Arabidopsis thaliana: one gene and its partner. The protein of the gene in region 2 interacts with the protein of the main gene of each other region in a pairwise test. Each region holds a gene or a part of one and is shown on either strand. Other genes may lie near its edges.

Region 1 (7,023 bases), about 25 Mb from region 2:
ATACACTCATTACATCGATTCAAATTATCATTTTTTTATATTATTTTGGGAAAAAAGTGGAAGGAGATGATGGAAATGGGGAAGTCCATGTAAAGATGTTGGGAGAATTTGGATCTTCTAAAAGGAATATGCCAATTACCAAACATGTGTGTTTTAAAACAACAAAACCATCTCATCACTCTTTATTTTACTAATAAATCATATTTCTTTCATTTAAGTATGCAAGTCGGTAGAGCTCTATCTGTCTTGTTCTGTTCAATAACAACTGATTAATCACCTAAAATCCATTAAGAAAATAACAGAATTGATCCGCATGACAATCTTGTCCCCAAGCTTAGTTCAGCTGTTCGGACAAATATTATTGGCTCGATCTTTAGTACCAAAGCTCGTCTCAAAGCAATTGTCAATCATATCAACTTATAACTTAGCTCCTTCACTGCATATTTTTTTTTATAAATTACGCCTAGGATTTTGATTTCCGATTAATTTCATTCTAAGAAAAAAGATTTCATATCCTTGTGAGTTGAGATTAGACTTATTAGGCCATGGTTATTTCAAAACGTTTAACGTATACAAAAGGAAACAACTCTGTCTCCAAGTAATTTACACATTCTCATTCCAACCAAAGAATAGTAGAATACAAAAAACGAAAAGTTGACACTGCATATACAATAGCAACGAACCTAGTTATGTAAGGTAAGCCAAAAAAAAGAAGAGTTTGATAGAAATTTACCTTACACAATTAGTTTTCATCATCTTTTAGTTGTTTTTTTACCGGCGTGGTTCATTCATAGACTTTCCTTCAAACAACTCACCCAACAATCTTTCAAGATCTTCAGCTGTATACTTTATGTATTTCTGAGGATTCTTCCCACTCTCAACCAAAGGCCTGCATCGATCATAGGTTAAAATCTCATTTAGGTTTTTTTACATTTCAATCAAATATTAGAAAAGCCTTCGCAGTAAAGAGAGAAAGGAGATTTTTACCCAAAGCGTTTGAGGAATGATCTATAAGCAGGCAATAATACTTCAGCAACAGCAAGTCTTAGTGACTCTCTTAACTCTGTGTCTGGAACTGTCCATTGCGATTGTCTCTGATGCAACTCATCAAACTGCATATTGAACATCTTGAACCTGTTCCATTTTTTTTTTACAGATTTATCATCATTACCAAATATATAAACATTTGCCAATTACTGTGTTTATTTTACATGTTTAGGACTTACCTCTCTTTTAATAATCCTCTTGAAACTCCACTGCTGTTTCCTCCCTCTAAACTTCCTCCCCCAGATGAGGTCAAACCTTGCGCCGATGAGCTTTGTAGTATCTACAAAATATGTAACAGTTTCTTAGTAACAATTTAATGAAATTTTATATAATAGTGTTTCTTTACAGAGTTAGACAAATAGACAGAACCTTTGTCCAGGCAACTCTTTTGTATTGGTTTGCATGTTGCTGCACGATACGCCTATGTCTTTGAACCCAATCATCGCCTAACAAATCCTTGGCTTCTGACCTGAAAAATTATCATATGAATAAAGCTAAATGAGTGCGTTCTTTTATTTTTTTAATAAAACCAGATCAGCCTTTAAAGTTTAAACGAGAAAAATAATATACCTGCGCACAGATCTGACCATGTAATGAATGTTGTTCATCAGGAACAAGTGTGTCAATGCAGGATCTTTGTACTGTTTCGATTTTCCGTCCAAGTTGTTTTGAAGCGCCTGCATTATCCGCATCGTTACGGATGCTAGCTGCGAATTTGAGTCATCTCCATTTCCAAATTCCAAGAAAAGTTGCTTCAATGTTGTTTGGTAGCTGACACCAATGATCATCAATTAAAGCGTGGAAAGGGACAATACGCAAATAGCAGTATGGAGAAGAACAATACGCAAATAGTTCGAGGAAATAAGTTGAGTATATATGATGTACTTACTCGAATAAAAACTTGACATAATTGATGACATAGCTTGTTAGTGGGTGGACAGTTCCATCTAGAACAGCAGTCTTTGTAGCATCTTTCTCAACAGCTTCTTCAAAATCACCAAATGTTTCCTGAGCAGTTTGCGCCAACCGCTTTGTCAAGCCCGTCGCAGAATCTCTAATTTCGAGGCATGCTTTCCCTTTGAAAATTGTCTCAATCTGTCCATGGACACAAATTTCATGAGATTGTACCATCTAATCTTATACCATAAACTGGTCATAAGAAAATTCACACTTTATGTCGTCCTAGATAGCAAACTTCCACTACATATGTATCACAAAGTTTTTTCTCTGTGTGCCATGCTGTTTATTATGGTGGGGATTTCAGTTGGTCAAAAACATATCTGATTGATAGAAACTCCACATGGGAAGAAAAACATTAAAGACAATCACTTTCCATATATTACTCCTCAAGTAAACAAAGCAGCTAGGTTTGACATCTCTAAGAAGTAAGTGGTGAACTCTATGCGTATGCAAACTGAAGTTTTACGTCTTAATATGGTAAATCGTTATGTGTGTCAGTGTCAATAAAACTAGACGTTTGCAGCATCCTATATTCTATAACATTTCACCTCACTAGCTTATACAAATGAATACAGGTTTGAAGGTGAATCAAGTATGTACCAAAGTTCATGATACTGAAAACTGACATTCTTAAAGATCAGAAAAAATCCACCAAAAGCTGAAACTAAAGAATAATTTTTCCATTTAACAGAAGACTCTTCAGTAAATGTATGGCGACTTAATGATATTAATGAGAAGATTATTACCTCTGTATGAAGCTCCCGCATTATCTCATACATGTCTAAGAGTACAAACAACTTTTCTGGAGATCTCTTGCTCCTGGCTATAGCATCCCCAAAGCTAAGTAGCATTGAGACACTGCTCACTGTAACTTCTGCAAAACACTGATCACTTAGAGAATCGAAGCCTCGGAATATCTGGTCACATACTTGTCTTTCTCCAGCAAAGAGTAATTTAACCTGTTGAACAAAATATCTTGAGTTAAAAGTGAACAAAACATGTTAAAGTTATTTCCATCCTTAACTAGAGTTCTTACAGCAATGCGCATGAAATGGATCCAATTTCCAATTTTGGCCTCCAAAACTTCCCACTGCATCCTCTGGACATCCTCTTTGCTAAGTTTTTCAACTCCCAATTTCTTTAAGCTTTCTTCCAAGACAAAGGAACGTGTGTCCCTGAACAAAACACAACAGGTTGAACAGAAGGAGATTAATAACAAATTCAAAAACACAAATGCATCTTAAATATGCATTGGGAAAATGCCAGTAGATTATGCAATTCGCTGCTTATATCTGACAATACTAGTAGTTCATATAGAAGAAAAAAGACAAAGCTTCTCCAATGCATTACACATATGAGACAAACAGAATTGCATCTAGCAATAATGTTTTCAGATCAGGTAAGCACAAACAGCGGAGTACACGATGTGCACATCACAGCCAAACTATTTGATGAGTGTCAATAGAAATTCATATTTCAAAAACATTTCTCTTTAGCTTTACTAGTGAAACAGCAGAAGGATAGTCAAATATAAACTCACAACTTGCAGAAACCATGGAAAAACTACTTTGTAAATGAGCGGTGACTGGTGAGAATTATATGTAAGTTAATTGTATACCCGCAATCGTTCAAAGAAACTATACCTTGACTCAGTACTTTGACTCATGCTACAATTATTAGTTGAAAATTTAAGCTAAGAGCCTGATTTGAAAATGAACTGTACGACATACAGGATGAATGACCAAGAATCAATAGTTCACCTATAAATTTGTAGCAACTGTTGTTGGTGACCAGCCTGAACCATTTGCTGTGCCAAGTCATGCAAAAGTGGCAACACCCGTGACGGAATGAGGATTGGAAGTGTATAAGCAGCAGTTTCCGCGTCATCATTGTGATGTCCTCCGTGGGGTTTTCCACCTCCATCCCCGTCTGAGGATGGTCTCAGTGAGTTGGGAAGGCCATCAAATAGGCGATCAGGCTCCACCGCTTTACTGATTATAACAAAAAAAAAGAGTTGGCCTTAGCATTCTTCCATCTAAAACCAGTTGTCTGGAACACTCGTATCATAGGAAACTTGTATATTGACAAGTGTTTGATTTCACAAAAAAAAATCTTTGTCAGGTGACAACTCCGATAATTTAGATAAAAGGTCATTCTAAGTATTCTAGGTTATTTGAAAGATAACTAAAGAAGTAAGACCATCATAGAGCGAAGACCAGTTCCCAAAAAAATACTAACTAGAAAAAGTAGCTAAAAATCCACAATAGCTTTGTTCCCTGAAGTTACAAGGTATGAGTCATAGTTATAGCAAGAGCATCAAGTTTGAAATCATGTAGCTTCTTAAACTCTTATCAGGCGCAGAAGCACAAACCTGTAAGAAGCTAGCAACTGCTTAAACTCTTCCTCCAGCTTTGACTGTGCTTTAGCAAGCAAACTATTTGCGTGGTTGAGAACTCCATCACTACTCTTAAAGCTTTTGTTGCTCATAAAATAACGAATAATCTTTCTGAGTTGAGCAATTGCATCCAGATAACTTTCCAGGTCCTCATGTGGCCCCTTGAGTACTTTAGTCTCTGCCTAGAATTGAATTGAGAGCATAATCAAAGACTATCTATTCTCAATGTAGATCATTATCAATTCTATCTATTTATACCGATCCATGTTAGTAAAATCAGAAGCAAGATTTGTAAAACAAACCTGACGGAGGAGATCGAATTGAGACAAAATAACTTCAGCAGCCTTAAGAGTCCTATCAATATTCTCATGAGCTTTCCTTATAGCATGAGTCCTAATCTGAGATTTCAAAACACAGTCAAACCAAAATCCGATCAAGTCAGCAAAACTCCATAGAGCTATAATACCAGATCTGGATTAGAAAACAATCAGAGAAGATGATCGGAGCACTCTAAACCACACCTGAGTAGGACGCATGGCGGTTTCAAGAGCAGACAGACGACTATCGAAGGAGCCGAGGATAGAAACAACATTATCGGTGATGGTTTGACTCTTTTGAAGAGATGCTCTCATCAACACAGCTCTTTCGCTTAGCAGATCCATTCTGCTATCAACAGCCATGGCGAATTCCAAAACTGGAGAAATACTTTTTCTCGTCGCCTTTCGAAAAATGGAAGTTGAAGAAAAAGAAAGAGAGACGACGAAGGATGACTCGGTTTGGTTTGGTGGGTGACAGAGGAATGCCGAGCCGGTTCAAAGCCAGCTAAGCTTTTTCTTTCCCCTTACTTAACCAGATTGTTGAACATTCTCTTAAAAATATTGACCTCTGTTTTAAATATTTTTATAACAGAATTATAGAAATAATTAAGGTTCAATAAAATTTTGTATTTCCATTAACCAATAATGTAATCGTAAATTAATATATGCAGACGCTAACCATAATAACACATATCGAATATTATATTCCAATAAAATTAAAGAAATAAGTACACTTCAATAAAAATTTGTCTTTCCATCAACCAGTAATGTAATTTTTCAATTTATTATAGTCAGATATGCTAACCATAATGTAATCCTCTCATAATTTTTCTTTACAAACTCGAAGTTTTTGGTGTTATATCGTTCGTTAAATGTCGACAACATTTATAAGCATTGAGCAGTGTTGACATATCATGGCCCACAAAATAAAAGGCTATTGTCCAAATACGAAATAGCCCATTAAATACGGCTACAAATTTGTTTTTACACAAAAGTCACAGTACTGTAGATCTATCTCTAAGAATATTATCCATTAACGACCAAATTTGTCTCAGAAAATAAATGGCTCAACAACAAACTAAATATCAACATTTTCTCAAGAGACATATTATAACTAAAAAGAAATGAACAAAACACTTGACATTAGTGTGTTGAAAACTAAAAAAAAAAGAAGAAGAAGAAGACTTATGAGGATTGTTAGACGAAGATGTAGCCTCTAGAGGATCTTTATTTTGTACTCAACTTGGCACCTTGGTGTGTCAATTTCGACACAACAGTTCTATCCTCCAATAAATTGAAATCACACCGAACATTCACACACACAAACATACACACACTTTATTCTCAATTTATTACGATGGTTTAAATGTTTACTAGAGAGCAGAAAAATATTTTAAATTCAAAAAGAGAAGAACAATAAAAAAAGGTTAGGCGAGCAAAAGGAAGATGATATTCCTAAGATACCTTTTCTTTTCATGGCTTTTCCGTCACTCATTCTGTTCCCAAAACCATGGACAACATTCTCATATTTTTGGATATTTAGAGAGAAAATTAGTTCCATATTTATTCATCTGCCGTTGATAACTTTTAGTTTATAGAAACATAAACCTTCTTGAAATATGTTTTACCATAAGAGGCATATTAAATAAATAAATAAAAAAAAATGACGACAAAAAAAAAAATCATACTGTATATAAAAAAAGAAAGTGTTTTGTGAGAAAAGAAGAGAAAATCAAAGTGCTTTGACTCTTAGTGACGTCTTAATCGGAGCGTGGAAAGCACGTTCTCAGAATGCGCGCGTAAACTTTTGCACAGGCCAGGGGTGGGGTTTCGCAGGGGCTTGGCTGACAGCAGACGAAGGCCAAACATGGCTCCCATAATTCATTTAACCATCACTGTTCGCCGACTCTTCTAGAAAAAAAAAAAAGTAGTTTTCAACCTTCTTACAAAATAATTAGTTCCATTGGTGACTAAAATTTAGTCATTGTAAGTTTTTTTTTTCCTTATTTCAATTTATATTGTAGAGAATACAATATAGCCTAAAGCAATGAGAAATGATGTTAATGACTAAAAAAATATGTATAGTAAGCTAGTGACATATCATAAATTGTTTTATAGATATAAAAAACAAAATTCATGAAAGTATAGACACATTAAAATTTAAAAATAATAATGAATTCCAACCACTTTTTCTAAGCGGTTCAATGAATCGTCTAATTTTTTAGACTGTTTAAATTAGTCTGTCCAAAAATAATGCTCATTCCCTTTTTACAATCGCTAATTTAAAACGCTTTAACAAACTAA
Region 2 (4,332 bases):
CGTCCTCGTCAGAATCCACCGCCGAGATCGTTGATCGAGTGAAATTATGGGAGACTTTGAGACATGAAATCGATCTGGATTGACTTAAGATGTATTCACAACAGAGGATGGAGATAATTCACGAAAAGATATGCTTTCTCTGCTCCGATCAATCTTACGGATGAAGTCAATCTTACGGTTTACTTCATAGTTCTAGAAGAGAACTAGAGAAAGAAAAAGATGAATTTTGTTATTTCTGGATTAGGGTTTCGAAGAACAAGAGAGAATGGGTGTATTTATAAGTAACGTTTGTTTGATGAAAAAAGGAAATTTCGATTGTTTCCTTTTCTTATTTGAGTTGCAAAAACTAAAAGGAAATCTATCACAACGGTAACAAAAGATTCACTTAACCGTCTTACTTTTTATAAAATCATAATTATATACAACACCAATAAATAAACAACTACTGTTTGATATTGCATATATCCATTATAAATTCCACCACCATAACTTCGTATGGATTAAGGCTTTTTTTTTCCTGCCAATTGGTTGTAATCCATATCTCTACAACTTCGAGAGGATGATTTTATTAAACGTAACTTCATTGTTATATATGCAAACATGATATTTGAATACTTTTCGAGTAAACACCATTCATTTTTTTTTCATTAATCTAAAAACGCATTATCGTAATGTATCACAAATCTGCCCTACATTACACAATAATGAAAATTATCAGTGTCTAAATACACCAAACAAAAATTACAAAAAATATATATTACTACACTTGACATTTAGCAAACATAGTTAGATACACAGTAAACAACAACAGACAAATTTTAATTGTGATGCAGCCGAAGAAACACATGTGGAAAACAAGGTGGCACTACCATTTCTCATTTCTGTCTTCAAATATCACCCCTTGTTGTTATTATCATAAATAAAAGTAAACACCTTTAAGCTTTAACGCAACAGTTGAAGCAGCTGAAGATTCTTCTCCTCCTCTGTTCCAAAGTCATTTACAAACAAGATTAAGTATGTTTTATCCAAAAAAAAGAACAACATTATTTATGTCACTTCACATGGTAGGTACAAAATAAAGGATTATGCTTTACTCAGATTGAAAGAAAGAATCCATTATAATAACTTTGTAGGGTAATGTACTACTATAAGTTTACTCTGTTTTAAAATATAGTTTTACATATTCTTTTCAATATTTTATCATCAATATAAAACATACTCTATGCATTCATGTGATTCCTTAACCATATGATCACAATCATATCCAATCAAGATCCAAATCCAACTTAAACTCAAAATCTGAAGTTGTGAAGTTTGGTGGGGTATATAAAATTAATTTCATGTGTAGTCATAAACAGCAATAAGCAACCAACTTGACCAAACATTGAAGGACCACATTTTACCCAATTGCTAGAAGAATCCATATAATGCTTACAATATTAGATTCTCAAACCTAACCAACCCAAGAAGGTCCACATCAAATGAACAATTCACAAACATTATCATCCTATTCATCAAGAAAATATGAATCTTACAATGGATATTCAAAGTGTTAACATGTAAATGCAATCAAAAACATAAGTTTCAAAAGTTTGGTATTGGTATGAGCATGAACAACGAACTAGGGTAAACAATGTGTGACCCAAACAAAATCTACCCATTTTGCCAGAAATAAACCATATAAGGCTAAAAAGTTGGATTTCATATCCTAACCAAGTCAAAACACCTACCTACCGGTTTCAATGAACGCAGGAGCTAATACAAATTCATATACAATGGACTGACATTCAAAACAATGAATCTTTAAGATAGAGCAACAAGAATCTTACAGAAGGAGAGTGTGGGTGATGGTGAGAGAACTCATTGCGGTTGTTGTTGTCACTGTGAACCGTAGTTAGCTTCTTAGGCTTGGCAGTATCAACAGGAGGCTGATCATGAAAAGGGTTAATGAGTTCTTCCTCGTTGCCAAGACTGGCTCGAGAAGCATCTCTCTTGTTGAGTTTCCTCATCTCTCTGATCTTTGAGAAATCCATTGAGTAATCAATTGATCCTCCTTTTTGATCCCAATCTCCAAACTGTGGTACTGATAGCCATGGCGAGTTCTTGTTCTGCCAAATAAATCTCCATTTCAATTACTTTTATTTTCAAGAACCATTAGAAAGAAAAAAACACAATCCTAAAAATCAATCACACAAAAAAAGACTTTTTCACCAAGATTCAGAGACTAATTTCTCACATCAAAATCGAATATTAATGCAAGAAGTTGACATGAACATCCCATTTTATTTAATGTATCACTTTAACTTTAATATTATGTAAGGAGAAAACACAGAAGACGAAGGGATTAGACCAGAAAATAAAAAATAAAAACCTCTTTTCGATCTTCCATGTGATCAAAGCTTCTGTAGCTAGCAGTGAATCCTGTTTTTTTTTTTTATAATAAGTTAAAGATGATCTTAGGAGGAAGATGGGTGATACAGAGCAATTTATAAGCGAAAGAAAAAGTATACCAAAATTTAATACAGCAAAGTAACAGGTCGATTGGTGGTGATACAACTATACTGTACACAACATATCAAAAATATTTTTGTTTTATTTTGTTTTTTTCTGCTTCGGGAAAAGGTTAGCTTTTGTGCATTAATTACGATACTGCCATTCGTTCGGACACGCACACACGCTTAATCCGCGTCAGCTTTGCTCTCATTTCCTGTTAAATGACGTCGTTTAGTATACTGTCGATTAATGGTCTAACCTTTAAGTTATGATATTAAAACATAAGTTTATTGGTGAAGATTTGAAGGCCGGCAACTGATTTTATTAAATTTATAGTGATATGTTTTTCCAATAGCTTAAGCAAAATTTGTTTGGAGTTGATTAGTTCATTTTCATTTATCTTTTTTGTTCCTAGAGCGGTTAGTGAACACTGAATGAATACACACACTGACTCCACTAAGAACCCAAAAAAAAAAACTCACATCATTTTGTGTATTTTGTTAGATAAAATCAAACCTAGCCGACGTTAGTGAATCTGTATCCACTTAAATATCATCTACAGCAACAAAAAAGTCCACAATAAGATATAAATAAGTACGACTTTGCTTCGTCAACTGTATGACTGCTATTAACAATCCCGAACTATTTAGTCATGGAGGCGATTAACATAAATTCATGTTTAATGATGCGAGCCGTTACATGATATATATACATGTTGATTCTTAATTTTCATTTCCAATTTCACTATTTCAGTCATATTTGAGAAAAAAGATGTGTGCTCGTACGTTTTAAGTTCCATGAACAGCCAATTTAAAATTAACGGGTGAATAAGTTGACGCATATTCATTTAAAATTGTAATTACGAATTCAACTTACTAAAACCATATACATAACGACCAAAAACTTAATAAAACTATAAATTTAAAAAGAAATCAAGTTGCGTGACGATGTGGCGTGAAGAGATCCACAGAGAAACTGACGTGGTTGATGATATAGTTAGACACGTGGCAGAGTATGAGAAGTGTCTGTTTTTCAAAGGAGCTATGTGAACCACAAAAGAGGTAACTTCACCGGATTTGTTATCTCTTCAAGACTTCTACCCTCTCTTCTCCTTCTTCCTCACCACAAAATTAGATTCTTTCGTTTGTTTTTTGTGTGTGTTATATTTGTCTTTATTTCATATCCATTTATTGACTTTGTAAGAACATTGCATTGCATGTGGCAGAGAACTCAAAGTTAGTAAAAATGAATACTCCGATTTGTATCACTTCTTTCCTTTGGCATTATATCAAAATATGGTCTTCAAAAACTAGAATTATACAATCGTAGAATGCATTTACTTGTCATTCATAGAAAGTTGCAATACAACTACCATTAGTACTTACAAACATTGCAACCAAATACATTTTTTATTGTAAAATAGTACTCCATACATATTTCATGCTCCATACATATTTCGATTTTTCACTATTTTCATTCCAATTTTTTGTGATAACTGAAGATAATTTTATTGGGTTTTTCTTTTTTGGTCGTCAATAATATTAATTTATTTTCTAAGTATTGATTTTATTTATTGATAATTGATAATGATATATTTTCGAATATAGAGAAAAAAATACAAACTAATAAAAAAATCAAATAAAATCTGGTGGCTCACGCTCAAAACGATAGAGAGAAACTCTTATCAAAGCTTTTGATTTCTCTCTCGAGGGTTTCTTACTCTGCTGCTTCTTCTTCTTCTTCAGTAGAGCGAGATTCTCTCGCGCTCTCTATCGCTACATATAACCATGGGTTTATCAACGAATCTCCATAGCCTCGACCTCCGTTCAACTTTCTTCA

The links.
Region 1: the proteins of AT5G64850 (region 2) and EXO70A1 interact in a two-hybrid assay, tested with the Arabidopsis thaliana proteins (one large-scale study listed by BioGRID).

The regions. Positions count from the first base shown.
Region 1 is NC_003076.8:887,665-894,687, reverse strand, and holds EXO70A1 (exocyst subunit exo70 family protein A1), read right to left. Parts: upstream 5,123-7,023; 5' UTR 5,083-5,122; coding exon 4,924-5,082; intron 4,801-4,923; coding exon 4,705-4,800; exon of another isoform or gene 4,585-4,704; coding exon 4,379-4,584; intron 4,172-4,378; coding exon 4,094-4,171; intron 3,999-4,093; coding exon 3,768-3,998; intron 3,183-3,767; coding exon 3,044-3,182; intron 2,967-3,043; coding exon 2,754-2,966; intron 2,143-2,753; coding exon 1,937-2,142; intron 1,819-1,936; coding exon 1,618-1,818; intron 1,517-1,617; coding exon 1,417-1,516; intron 1,328-1,416; coding exon 1,227-1,327; intron 1,135-1,226; coding exon 988-1,134; intron 890-987; coding exon 772-889; 3' UTR 521-771; downstream 1-520. UniProt on the Arabidopsis thaliana protein: Component of the exocyst complex involved in the docking of exocytic vesicles with fusion sites on the plasma membrane during regulated or polarized secretion. Involved in polarized cell growth and organ morphogenesis.
Region 2 is NC_003076.8:25,919,642-25,923,973, reverse strand, and holds AT5G64850 (sorbin/SH3 domain protein), read right to left. Parts: upstream 2,573-4,332; 5' UTR 2,390-2,572; coding exon 2,372-2,389; intron 2,109-2,371; coding exon 1,830-2,108; intron 984-1,829; coding exon 936-983; 3' UTR 556-935; downstream 1-555. Other genes in the region: ABCF5 (general control non-repressible 5), read left to right, coding at 4,281-4,332.